2 linked regions of the Diceros bicornis minor genome follow. The protein of the gene in region 1 purifies or fractionates together with the protein of each later gene. This does not show direct contact. Links are inferred from orthologs where the notes say so. Each region holds a gene or a part of one and is shown on either strand. Other genes may lie near its edges.

Evidence for each region.
Region 2: the proteins of KCNQ1 (region 1) and AKAP9 purify together in Homo sapiens (affinity purification with western blotting; 3 studies listed by BioGRID and IntAct, with this or other methods). This does not show direct contact. The link is inferred for Diceros bicornis minor from reciprocal best matches to the Homo sapiens genes KCNQ1 and AKAP9.

Annotation. Positions count from the first base shown.
Region 1 is NC_080770.1:2,284,807-2,291,673, forward strand, and holds the start of KCNQ1 (potassium voltage-gated channel subfamily KQT member 1), read right to left. Parts: upstream 3,011-6,867; 5' UTR 2,989-3,010; coding exon 2,600-2,988; intron 1-2,599. UniProt on the Homo sapiens protein: Pore-forming subunit of the voltage-gated potassium (Kv) channel involved in the regulation of cardiomyocyte excitability and important in normal development and functions of myocardium, inner ear, stomach and colon.
Region 2 is NC_080742.1:29,433,345-29,440,431, forward strand, and holds the start of AKAP9 (A-kinase anchor protein 9), read left to right. Parts: upstream 1-4,081; 5' UTR 4,082-4,147; intron 4,148-4,589; exon of another isoform or gene 4,590-4,775; 5' UTR 4,776-4,792; coding exon 4,793-4,840; intron 4,841-7,087. UniProt on the Homo sapiens protein: Scaffolding protein that assembles several protein kinases and phosphatases on the centrosome and Golgi apparatus. Required to maintain the integrity of the Golgi apparatus. Required for microtubule nucleation at the cis-side of the Golgi apparatus.

The DNA.
Region 1 (6,867 bases):
CGATGGGGGGGACAGGATATCCTGGCTTGCTTCCCCAGCTGCGCCTGGGAGAGTGTGCCCAGCCCTGCAGGGCCCGCCAGGACAGCAGCTCCCACACCCACCAGCCCGCCCAGGGCCCTTCAAGGCCAGGCTCGTCCTTCTCGGGCCGGAAACCAAGCCAGGCCCGGGTCGCAACAATAATCCTGCACGTTTCACAATCCACGTCACCAAGGACACAGCTCTTTCTCTGCCACTATCTCGGACACTCCTTAGAGCGACACCAGGGCTGGAGCGGGCCTTGTGCACCCCCCTCACAGGGCCATGGCCACGCTCCAGCCACTGGCCACAAGCTGCAGTCCCAGCTCGAAGGCCAGGTTCCCTCAAGAGACTGGCTGATTCAGAGAGCACCTGGGCTCTGTGAGTTTCCTGGAGACGTAGGGGTGAGGGGGCAACTTCCCAGGCCCCAGACAAGCCACGCACCCTGCCTGGCCAGTGTCCCCCTCCAGCCCCACCCGGCACGGGGGGAATGTGGCGGGTGTTCACTCCCCAGGGCCACAGCACAACTCTTGCAGGACAGGGCCCAGAGCAGGAAAAGACTGACCCAAGGTCACACAGCCACTCTCAGGAGCATCCCTTTCCCAGCTCCCCGAGGGGAAGCCGCCCCTGCCCCGCCAGCTCCTGGGGAGGCTGGGCAAAGGCAGACTCTGCTGAGCAAACTTCCGAGGGCTAAACAATCAGAATCAGGAAGAAAACACAAGTGTAAGCAGAGACTTCCTCTGGGGTGCGGCGAGCCCTCTTCCTCCACAGGGCGACGCGCGCCCACGGCCTGCAAACCCCGGACCCGAACCAGTGGTGTGTCTGGAGGCCCCTCACCCTGGCGGCCCTCCGGGAGTGGGGGGCACTGCAGACCGCCTGGCAATCCTCTGCCCACGCCTCCCCCCCTTTGCCTGGAGCTGGCGTGCAGGGCTCCAGGATGGAGAAACAGCTGGGCAGGGTCTTCCCCAGGACCCTGCTGTGTGGTCCATCCCACCCTGGACATCTCAGGGAGTCTGGGATCCAGCAGGTGAGGGCTAGGAGGCGGGCAGCCCACATGCACAGCAGCGCCACAGCCTGGTGTTGGCTGGGTGTTCACATGGCTGGTGTGGGACTCGGGGGGTTATCCCTTGGGGTCACTGCACAGGAACATTCCCCCAAACCCCAAGACAAGCCAGTGCTGCTGCAGCTGCGGGCAGGGCCCCCGTCTCCCACAGCCACGGTCACAGCTCACGTGCCCTCTCACACTCTGGGAGGCTGGGGTAGAGAAGAGGCTTGAAGATTGTGGTCCACCCATGTTTTCAGGGACATTGACCCCCAGACTTGCCTGCCCCTCAGCAGGGAGGGCAGCAACCCCCATATCACCTGCACTCACAGCGGAGCAAGGTGAGAAGCTGAGGCTGCCCCGCCCCGCCGCCCCTGCCCGAGATGATGCTCCAAGCTGGTTGGAGCCTGGCTTCCGCTGCATCCTGGGGGCCCTGGTGGCAGCTGCCACTGGGAGAAAACGGGACCTGGACGCTCCTCTGCCAGGTCTCCCCTGCCCGAGGCCAGCCAAGGCAGCAGGGATGAGCGCCGGGCACCACCATTAGGAAGCCAGAGGGAGGCCACCCGTGTGGCCCCCGGACGAGCCCCCGCAATCAGCGTGGGGATGGCTGAGTGAAGGCTCACAGGATAGAGGCTGGCACCATACCGAGAGGCCGTGGGCTGGGCAGCCAGGAAGTAGGACCATGGAAGGCAGGGAGGGCTCAAGCAGGCAGCAAGGAGGGCGGCCCCGAGGAGGTAACTTCCTCGTGCCCCTGTCCCTTTGAAACGGAGTGCCCTGCCCTGCCCTGCCTCACGCAGGCGCCACACCATGAATTAGAAGCACCTGGGTAACTGCAGGGGCCAGGTGCTGCCTGGAGGGCCCTGCCCTCTCCCCGTGCACAGCTTCCTCTGATTGAAGCTGGCAACGTGGCCCAACCCCTCCCCTCCGCGTGCCCCCTCCAGGCTCCTCGCTTCAATCCAAGTTTTCATGAGCTTGGTTCCTCAACTGGGGCAGGGGGCACTCCCCACCTCCGTGCTGACCCCTCAGGGAACACCACCGCCAAGAGGCCTGACCTGACTGGGAGGGTCTGTGATGCTGCTGCAGGAGCAGAGGGCCCTCCCCTCTAGGGGTTCCTGTCTTCCCTACAGGGCCACCCTGGGGAATCTTCTCCCCTGCACCCAAGAGCAAGCTCCCCCCGCACATGTCCTTTCCCAGAAGGATTAACACCTGGACCGTCCCTCCAGCGAGGAGTGGAGCCAACTTCTGGGCTCTGGCACCCCTCCCCAGCTGGCTCCCGCCACACACAGGCCCAGGCAGGGCCAGCCGGGAACTGCCCGCCCCCACAGGCTCAGAGCCACACGGCCCTGAACTTCAAGGGACAGGCTCCACGATGTTTCTGTTCTGTCTGTTAACCTCTTCCTTCCCTCCCGGCTGCTCCCAGTCGCAGCTCCGACCGTGGTCCGTGCGGCAGCAGGTGTCACGGGCACAGCGCTACCCCGACACCCCTCCCCAGCCCCGCGGAAAGCCCCTCGGTGCCGGGCCTCGGCCGCCGGCGATACTCACACGGCGAAGTGGTAGACGAAGCACTTCCAGCCCGTGGGGCGCTCGAGGAAGTTGTAGACACGGCCCTGGATGTGCGTGCGCGCGAGCAGCGGGCGGCGCGCGCTGTAGATGGAGACGCGCGGGTCGAGGCTCACAGGCGGCCGCGGGCCAAGGTCGGCGACGGCGGGGGGCGCGGCGGGCGGGGCAGGGGACGCGGGGGACGCGGGCCCCGGGGCGCCGGGCGGCGCGATGGGCGCGTAGAGCGCGCCTCCCGCCGGGCCGCCCTCGGCCAGCTCCAGCGAGAACGGGCACTTCTTGGCCAGGCCCGCGCTGCCCCGCCGGGCGCCCGGCAGGCGGCCCCAGCCCCAGCGCTTCCTCTCGGCCCTGGGCGGGGAGGAGGCCGCGGCCATGGCCAGGCAGGGCCCGCGGGGGCCGGCCGGGCGGCGGCACCGGGAGCTGCAGAGAAGGCGGGCGCCGGGGCGCAGTGCGGGCAGCCGCTGCTGCCAGCCCCGCCGCGGGGGGCCGCTGCCCGCCCCGCCCGGGGGTAGGGGGCGGGGCCGGGAGGGGGCGGTGGCCGCGGGCCAGTCCCTGGGGATGGCGTGCGCCGCCCCGGGCCGGACGCCCCGCCCTTGACCAACCGGCGCGCACGCGGCGCCCAGTCCGCGCTCACCTGCTTGGTCCCATCCGGGTGGGTGCCCACCTGTTCGTCCCGTCCCTTTCGCATTCACCTGCTGGGCCTGCCCGGTTCGGTGCTTGCCTGCTCATCCCCACCTGCACCCACGTGCTCGCCCCCCCACGCCCACCTGCTCTGCGGGCGCGGAGCCTCCAGCGGATCCGGGAAGGAAGGCTCGGGGTTGGCAGGTGCAGCGACCGCGAATCGCGTGGTCTGGGCAGGAGGGCAGGGTAGGGCTCAGGCGCCCGCTTTACCCTCTCTGAGCCTCTTCGAAGAGGAGGTGGAAAGTAAATAGGGAAGGAGGGGCGCCCTGGGGCTCGCGGACTGACCCTCTCGGCGCCAGGAAGACTGCGTGTTAGCCCCGCGAACACTCTGAACTTCCCGTGGGTGCCCGGGGGCGCACGCTGTGGGCAGAGAAGAATGATGTTGAGTCGGTGCCCACTAGGGCGGTCGGACCCAGGAGGCAAGACGGGGCCATCGACAGTCAGGGACGGCCCAGTGGGAACTGTGCATGTGGGGAGGCTGTGGGCGGCACAGCTGGGGCCTGGATGGAGTTTGACTGCGAGGCATGGTGAGTGGGGCTGCCTGAGCAGGTCGGGAGAGAGGCGTTTGGGCAGCCCTAGGAGTGTGAAGACTGGGTGTCCTATCCCTGCCCACCTGATCGGGGCTGCTAGTCGGCCCTGTGGCTTTCCCTGGGTGAGGGTGAGTGTAGAGGTAGGTCATGGGATCAGGTTTGTGCGGGTCCCCTGCGCTGCCTCCAGCCGTGCTGCGCTGGCGTTTGGGTCCCTGTGCATTGACCAGACGCCAGGGTGGAGGATAGGGTGGCAAATAGAAAAAACCGGCTTCTCTGGAGACATTGCCCCAGGCAGAGGTCGGGGTCCATAACTAAGAGACACTTCCCAGGTCTTCCCTGAGCACCCGGGGCTGATTTACTCAATGTACCCCCCACCAGAAAGTCAGCTCTTGACGGTGGGCAGAGTCCAGCTCCGGCCCTTCACCCCTGCCTCCCCACACCTCGGAGACTGCCTGCACACGGCCAGCACAGTTTGTGTTTGCAGAGAGAAGAGGGGAGTGGGTCTCAGCCTGTGCCGGGCGCTGTGGAGACTTGGGCACCACTAAGGCCAGGGCACCTTCCTCAGAAGTGCGTCACTTAGGATCCCAAACAGGCAGAGAGTCCACCTCTGCAGGGCACCAGGGGGACAGGCCAGGGCACACGGCAGGCAGGCAGGCAGTATTTCCGAATGAGCGCATGCACGAGCGAGCAGTGTCTGCACATCCGCATCCCAGCAGCAGGAGGAAGGTGAACTTTAATGGGCGGTGTTGGGACAGCTGGAGAGCCATAGAGAAGGGAAAAAGATAAAGTTGGATCCACATGGCACACAACACAAGGATAAATTTCGAACGGATCAGAGGCTTAAATGTAAAAGTTGAAATGAAGCCATTCAGATGCTATCAGACTTCCTCAACAGTCTGGAAGTAGGGAAAACATTTCCAATGGTGGAGACGAATGACAAGCTGACACAGCTGTTGGCAATTGACCTCACAGGCTGAGGGGCAGTAGCACCGACACGTAAAAACATCTAAAACCGAGAAGACGACGGAAACAACCCGTGGAAAAGGGAGCGAAAGACACGAACGTTTCACGAGAAAAGAGGTTCGCGATCTTTGCACTTAAGAAAAAAGGCTCAACGGCCGCCCTAACAAGAAAAATGCAAATTAAAAGTACACTCTGATACCACTGCTCACCTATCTGATTGGCAAAAACCCAGACATTTGCACACTCCATGGGCAGGGCAGCTGAGAAGCAGGTGGGCAGGGGGCCTGGAGGTTTAGCAAAAGCACATGTGTCCTTTGCCCCAGCAAGTTAGTTCCACTTCTAGGAACTGACCCAAAGACGTGGAAAAAGTGGAAAATGATATCTGCACACTGCTATTGGTGGCAACATGATTTGTATGAGCAAAAGACTGGAAACAGCCAGAACATGCCCAGGGCACTGAACCATGCTAAGGTACAGCCTCACAGTATAGCCCGCTATCAATATTATCTCTAACACTCTGAGGACGAAAGGAACCCAAAGAATCATATTCTTGGTAATAATATTGGTGTTGTTACTTTGGAATTATATATGTGTATAATATATACATAATATCTATATCATGTTAAATTCCTTAGGAGCCAAAAATTTTGGTATAAGAGAAAAGAGATACAGATATAAAATCGAAGTATGAACCAAACCTTCAATTTGAATCGGGAATATTAGCAGAAACTCCTCAGCTATGTTATCTTAAAATTACTTTCTAGCTCTGTCCACTGAAGAGTTTTAGGAAGGGCCAGTCAACAACAGAACAATTTGAGCCTCACAAAGAATTATAGATGAAAACATATCAAATATCTTAAAAACCCATTAAGTCATAATGATACTAAAATATCCTCATTGGCCCTTTGTAGGTTGCTAGGGCTCATTATTCTGAAAACGTTAACAGAGGGAAAAAGTTGAAGGTTTACCCTCCCTCCCCTGTCAGAACCGAACCTCAGGGTGAAAAGAAGCCGCCCGCACTGGTGGCATGGACCGCGGTGTTTCCGGAGAGAATTAGGTGATGTCGGGAAATTGCTCCGAGACAATCAGCGGGGAGGGGCCGCCAGTCGGGTAGAGATGAGAGCTAACGCCTCTGAATTGGTCGTTGGTGAGCCCCGGTGAGCGCAGTCACGATGCTGTGCGCCCTGTGTGTTTCCACATTTAAAATATTATAATAAGTAGCTGCCCAAGAACCTGGGGAGGCTTCTTGAGGGGGCTGCATGCTAGCCCAGGGTCGGCCGGAGGAGCAAGTGAGGGGCTCTCGGGGGGCCCTGAGCTATGAGGGAGCTGCTCTGGGGGGTCCTGGGCCCACCAGCATGGGGACGCTGGGGAGCATGGAAGGCTAGACAGAGGGTGGCCGAGAGCTCCCTGCAAGCTCAGAGGAGGACCCTGGGGGAGCACTGGGAACCCCTGGGCACGCTGAGGGGTGGGAGCTGGAAGGAGGGAGGGATGCCAGGTGCGCAGGTGCGGTGAAGTGGGGCTGGGCTTGAGAAGGGTCGGGTAAGGAAAGGCCCAGGGTGGAGGGCTGGGGGTGGGGCTGGGGGCAGGGTCAGCCGCAGGAGCAAGAAGCACAAGCCAGGCCTGCTCCGCGGTGGGTAGCAGGCCTGACCCAGCCCATTAGCTCACCAGCTGCTCCCAGGATGCCCCTCCACTGAGGACAGCCCCTCCTGGCCACAGCCCCCTCCCCAGGACCTGCCTGAGGGCACCTCGGTCACTCTGGGTACAAGTGTCACGTCCTGGGTATTGGATGCAGAGGCTGATGGATCTACCTGGCCGTGTTTGGATGGAGAGGCAGCCCCTCCCTGCCTCTCAGGCCCACGGGCCATCTCTGGGCCTCAGAACATTCTGGAAACACTGCACTCACCTCCCTTCAGTGGCACTTTGCCAACACCCCTCGGTGCACCATACTCACCCCACGTTCCTTGCATGGGGTCAGAAGCCAAATGTGAGAGGAGCCTAGAGGTCATCAAGCACACATGGGTGACCCGAGGCTGGGGAAGGGAGGGGTGGGTGGCTGCTGCGAGGCCAGTCCGCAGGCCA
Region 2 (7,087 bases), on another chromosome or scaffold:
ACAAAATACAGAATGGGTGAGGTGTATAACAAAATACAGTGAGTGAGGTGCCTTAAAGAACTGGATTAAAATTTTAAAAGCCTATGTACATTTTAAAGATTTGTGGACAAGGACATGATTGAATTGCATATTAATAATTTACTCCAGTAAAAACTCCAGAAAGCCACAAGTTAAAGAAAAAACAAAACCAGCTTTGTAAGGGTAAAATATGTCTGCATTTAAATGAAAATGAGGTTAATAAGTCAATCATATAGTATTGTCATTAAAATATGTGTGACACATAAACAGAAATTAAGCACATAGGAAAACTCAGGATAATTGTGCTATGGTGAGATACATAGTTCAAATATTTAATGAAAATCACTTGGTTAACTTAAATGAGTTATATAGAATTTGGCAAAGATCCAGAGAATGGCAACTAAAATGATCAAATATATTTTAAATAGACCATATAAGATAAGGCTAGAGAACAATTATTTAATCCACAAAAGAAAAGGCTAAATACAAACTGTAACGTCCCTCCTCCTGAATTTAGGGGCTATACTTTGTATTTTGTCCCAGACAATATAGAAGAGAAGAACCATCTTCTTTTTTCACACAGAATCTAAGGAATTGCCTCAATTGCTGCTGCAGCTTTTGTGAGGTCAAGGTCTAGTGATATATATTGGCTACTAAAATGAAATGACTGATAGGTTGCACCTGACCAATTTGTGAAAGAGCAAATAACATGGAAATGGCAATCACAATGTACTGAGGGGAGGGACGGAGAAAGCTTCTCAAAATATGATTTAACTACAGTTAGAGTTATCTCCTGTTTGCTGATCACACTGGTACTCTTCACATACTAGTTTGCTGTCTTGCCAATGAGGAACTAACACTATTTAAATGGAAAATATAAAAGGTACCTTTAGAAATCTTGAATTTAATTCCTCTGGGGAAACAAGTGTAGTGCAGTATTCTCACTATTTGGAAGACAAGTCAACACCAAAAGAAGTGTAGATTACTTATGAGGTTCACAGACGTTATTAACACAAAATCACTAGAAGTAACTCCAATCAGGGATGACAAATAGATATCACTTCCCTTTTCAACTCTGGTCCATTGGAGCGACTTCTCTTTGTGAGAAGGATACTGAGGCAGTGTTTGCACTCAGTAGGAAAGAGTTGACTGATTTAAAGTGACTTCCATGGAAGCCTCCAATGACTTTCACCTTGCTAAATTCAAGGGTTATTTCTCAGTCCTCATTTTACTTAACCTGTCAGCAGCAGCTGCTACAGTCCATCACTCCCTCTTCCTTCACTTTCTTCACTTGGCTCCTGGTTCCTCTTACCTAGCTAGCTGCTGTTCTCAGTCTCATTTGCTGATTCCTCTCACCTTCCCTCCCTCTTAGAGTTGGAGTGCTCCAAGACTCAGTCATTGTATCACTTCTCTATCTAAATTTACTCCTTAGAGCAACGTGATCTAACAGAAAAATCACGTGAGCCACAAATGCAAGCCACATATGTAATTTGAAATTTTCTAGTAGCTACATTAAAAAAAAAGTAAAAAGAAACTGGTGAAATTCATATATATTTTATTTAACCCAATATACTCCAAATATTAGCATTTCAACATATAATTAATATAAAAATATTAATGAGACATTTTAAGTTCTTTTAATACTAAGTCTTCAAAATCCAACATATGGCATATCTCAATTCAGACTAGCCATATTTCATGTGCTCAATACTACATGTGGCTAATGGCTGCTATATTAGACAGCATGGCCCTAGATGATCTCATCCAATCCCTTAACTTAAAATGCCATCTATATGCTGACTACTCTCAAATTTACATTTCTTGCTTGAACCTCTCTCCTGAACTCCAGACTCAGATATCTAAGGGCCTACTTGACATCACTTCTCGGATGCCTAATATGTATCTCTGACTTATTACGTCCCAAACTGAACTCTTGGTCTCCTCCGTATTTACTTTTCCCCATCTCAGTTACCGGCAACTCCATCACTTCAGTTGCTCAGGCCAAAAATGTTGGAGTCAACCTTGACTCTTCCCTTTGTCTCAAACCTCACATTCAATCTACAGGTCCTATGGCACTATTAGTTCCATGTTCAAGAAGTATCCAGAATCTGATCCCATATCATTACCTCTAATACCACTACCATAGTCCAAATTCCCATTATGTCTTGTCTGAATTATTGTGATGGCATCCGAACTGATCCCACAGTTCATTCTCCTCAAAGCAGTTAGATGTTCTTTAATAATTAAGCCAGATCATCTCACTCATTGGCTCAAAATTCTCTAATGGCTCTTGATCTCACTCAGAGTAAAAGCCAAAGTCCTTACAATGACCTTCAGAACTCTACAGGATCTAGCCTCCTGTTACCTCTCTGACCTCACCTCTTGCTATTCTCCTTGCTCACTCTGCTCTGGCCACTCTCACCTCCTGCTTTTCCTTTAACACCACAGTCATGTTTCAGCCTCAGGGCCTTTAGACTGGCTATACCCTCACTAACCCCAGGGCTCACTGCCTCGCCCCTTTCAAGTCTTTGCTCAAATATCATCTTCTCAGGAAATGACTTGAATGAATGAATGAATGACATGACATCAATGAATAGGTGCCACAAGGATGCATCAGAGCACTAGTGCCACATGGTTGCCCTTCTAACAGAAGCCAACACATAATTAACCTAAAACATTTATTGAACACCTACTATATATAAAACAGACATGTATGATTTGCTGCTCTTAGTGAAGGGAAACATTAAAATAATCCTATTGCTTTAGAAGGTGTTCTGGAACATTTTCAGCACATACTGGAACAAGTAGCTGGCTTCCTTAGTCACTGAGAAAGCAGTATCTACTAAAAAACAGGAATATCTTGTCAGATATTCTAGGGCTTCCTCCTCCTAGGCAATCAGAATCTACAAACATAATCCCTCAATCCAGGCAGTTCTAACTGCACTGTTAGAACACTTGGTTCCAGTCCTAGCTCTACCCTGAGCTGGGTGAGTGATAATAAATCACTTCTTTTATTGTCTCAGTTCTTTTATTCCTATGATGAAATGTCTAATCTCACCCAGTTCCCAATGCAAGTTAAGATAACAGGACAATGTATACTTGGGTGTTACAAGCTGGCACACTTATGTATGCATTGTGGAGCTTGAGAAAAAAGAAATTGTTTTTCAAATCTAAGAATTTCTAAATCGGGACTATTTAAAACTAGTCTTCAGTTTGTGGTAGACTTAACGTCTTTAATCTTTTCATTTTCCTTTTTTAATCCCAATTTTCACTTAACACCACTTCTACGATTGAACTCATAGCTTATTTTAGTTCACACCTGCTAAGTTTTTCAGTCCAACCTAGCTCAAAACAAAGGAGAAACGTGATCAACCTGAGAAATCAACCCGAGACATTAAAATGTGTAGTTTACCCCAGGAATTGATTTGCGTGTAGGAGTGTGGGGAGAAAAAAGGAAGTACGTGAGGGAGCAGCTGAAAAAAAGGAGAGTAACGCTCAATTTATTAAAATGGCTCAATTCAATTCAACGTGTTTATGGGCGCAAAGCACTGTGCTAGCCATTTTAGTAACGCCAAGATGAGCAAGAAAGTCTCTGCCATCAAGGAGCTGGGAGTATGAGCTGAACACAAATTATCAAAATATCATGCAGAGTACATAAAGGAAATACCAGGAGAAATAAAACTGACATTAATTGAGGACATTTTCATATGCCGGGGCAGTCACATATATTAACAACCCTTCCAAAACTTCCAGGTAAGCTCAGGGAGAATAGGTAACATATTCAAGGTCATTCAAGCTAGAAAGTTCGTGTACACTGGCTTTGTCCTCAACCCAGGTTCCCAAGCCCAGGCTCCTTTCAGATCACCATTGCTAAGGAGAAGCTCCAGTGAGGAGTGGGAGGGGAACAAGTTGACAGTATACTCCCAGTTGCGGCAGAGGGAACAAAGAGATCTGAAAAGCTATTCAGAGGCGGCGCGTGAGGTGGGCCTTGAAGGGTGAACCGGAGACTGGGCAGGCCAGTGCGGGGAAGAGGGAGCGACTTGCAGGCTAAGGCGATAATGAGAGCAACTGGATGCTCTCCCAATTCCTCGAGTCGAGGAATCAACCTAGGTTGAAAAACTGACGTCCGGTAGGTCCTCATCCACCCTCCTCTCAATCTTTTCCTTTGGGGCTTTTTAGCGTTCACCAATTCCACCAGTTATTTTTGCAACTTGAAAAAGCTCATTGTTTTAAAGCGACCACTGAGTCCTTTGGATGGTGGGTGGGGGTCTGACGGGGCGCCCCAGGCACACCCCTTGCCTCCCACCCTCTCAGCCAGGCCGCCATCTAGAGAGGGTTCGTCGCCGAGAAAGGGCGCTCTACCCGCCGGTTTTTCGCCTGCGGGACCCGGGGCCCGAGGCTTGGCCGGAGTCGCCCCCACCGCGGCGCCCAGAGCAGGGCCGAGCCGCAAGCGCACCTGCCCGGCGCGGCGGGGCTCGCGGCGCCTGCGCGGACCGACGTGCCCCCCACCCTCACCCCCCCCCCCCTCCGGCTTGTGCCTCGCCGTGTGTTTACGTGGAGACGAAGATGGCGGCGGCGGTGACGCGCTGCTCGTGTGATTGAGGACGGTCAGCCAGTGAGCGCAGAGACTGGTTCCACTCCGGGCAGGGGGAGCGCCGGGCTCGGCCCTGCTCCCTGGGCCGCGGAGCTTGCAGTCTCACCTCCGTCTGAATCGACCTTTCCTTTCTATCGCCGACTCCCTCCCTGTCTTCCCCCAGCCTTCTCCGCAGAGGCCATGGAGGACGAGGAGAGACAGAAGAAGCTGGAGGCCGGCAAAGCGAAGGTAAGAGCCGGAGGCTGCCGGGCCCGCGGTGGGAGGCGGTGGCTGCGAAGCGGTGGGAGGGGGCCTGGGACGCGGGGATCGCAGCAGCCCCGGTGCGCTGCCGAGGAGGGAGGAGCTGCAGGGTCTGCATTTTCCCCTCGCCCTCCTTTTTCCTTTTCCAATTGAAAAAGCCTGGTGTTACTATCTAGCAGATGATACTTCCGTGGTGATTGGGTGGTGTGGTTCCTTTCTCGTGAATGCCCAAACAGAACCCCTCTTTTATTGTTCCGCTATAAACTGGTATTTATTGCTTCTAAATCTCCAACCTTTCACTTTTTTAGAGAGTTTTCCAGGTAGTGCAGGCATTGTGCTTTACAGGGTGGGGATTTGGGGCTTTCCTTTATTCGGTAGGGGATTTGTACGCTCATCGTCAGCTTGGCTTCTTAGGTGGCAAGCTGGCACTCTTGGGTGTGTGATTGGCCTGTGACAGCTGCCTCAGCAGTGGCTTGAGTGTGCCACAAGTACCAGCTGTGAACTTCGCTTTAAGGGCATTTTTAGAAGCGTGGCTTTGTATGTTTGTCTTGGGAGGTCTTTGTCATGGCATGCGCTTTTGTACTGTGTGGAATGTTATGCAGTATGTGAATGGAACTTGTGGGGTTGAAAGCTTCGCTATTTCCAAGAAACACCTATAGAATTCCTGTTTTAAATAACTGAATTGGTATATGTGTCTCGATGAGTCCCTGTTTTATGTGTGTATGAAAAAACCTGTAAAGCAAACGATACGAAATTATACTGGGCTTCATGAAAAATTTGACAGACAAAATATAAATTAAATAGCGTGTTTCTTTTAAAAATTACATATTTGAGCATATCTTCTGGGTGGCCTCAAAGGCTCCTTCCTCCCAAAATGAAGTTACCTTTTACAGTTTATATTTTATCTTATTAGCGATGATTGTTAGCAATCATACTTGGACAACAATTAAATTATAATATAGTTAACTGTTTTTTCTGTCTTTCCTTTCCCTCCAAATAAACAAACAAATAAATAAAGGAGACCGGGTTTATGATTTTGGTAATCATTGAAGGGCCATACTGCGGAGATGCAGTAGTAGATGCTCAACACAAATTTCTTAAATGAGTATGTGTATAAACTAGCTTCATGTTTGTAAAATAGAATACGCTTTTCCATAGCTCCTTCTATCTAAGGTCAAAGCTTAAGGCCAGGTAGATTATTACTTAGAATCTATAAATGGAGGGAAGAGGGAATCAAGGCATCTTCAGAAGCCCAAAGTTGTTTACATTTCTGCAATCTGAAGGTCAGAGCAAGCTCTGTGAATCCAAGCAAGTGGAGGTTAAGTGTGCACCTCCTTCCAAAAGCATTGAAGTTCTAATAGACATTTCGTTTGTTACCTAAAAATTTTTACTGCCTGCCCCAGAAGTATCTTTCCTAAATATATGTAAAGTAGTCCTACAAAACGTAGTTTACTTTGGACGACGCATTTCATAGTGGTTACAGGATTTATTTGAATTGCTTAGAGTTTGCAGAAAAGAATTCTAGTTTCTTTGTTTGTATGTGTTGTTTGTCTTTCGAAATTCTGCCTATGGAGTAAAAATCTTTTCTTTTAACATTCACTTCTATTGTAGAAGATTATCTTCTTCTAGTGTTGAGCCCAGTTTTTCCAGTAAGAAATAAATCTGTGAAACTTGTAAGGCAAGGTATGTTTGCTGGAGCATTAGCTATACAATATAAAAAGACTGGAAACAACCTTCAAAGAGAGTATTAGAATCGTTTTCTAGACTATAAGTGTGATGGAATACTATGCAGCCATTAAGTTTATGAAGACTGATAGGAACATGGAAAATAAAGTGAAAACATCATCATCAGAAATAGTGTATACATTATTTCATTTGTATAAATGTGTGCTTTTAGATTAGGACTTAAAAATTTTGGATTATAAATGTCAAGTCATTCAGCAAACCTGTATTGGAACTCTTGTTTGTTTGTTTTTTGTAAGGAAGATCAGCCCTGAGCTAACATCCATGCCAATCCTCCTCTTTTTGCTGAGGAAGACTGGCCCTGGGCTAACATGTGTGCCCATCTTTCTCCACTTTATATGGGACACCACCACAGCATGGCCTGACAAGCGGTGCATCGGTGCGCGCCCAGGATCCAAACCTGGGCCCCCAGCATCGGGGCGCACGCACTTAACTGCTACGCCACAGGGCCGGCCCCTTGGAACTCTTGTTTTATACTAAGGTTGGGAAATA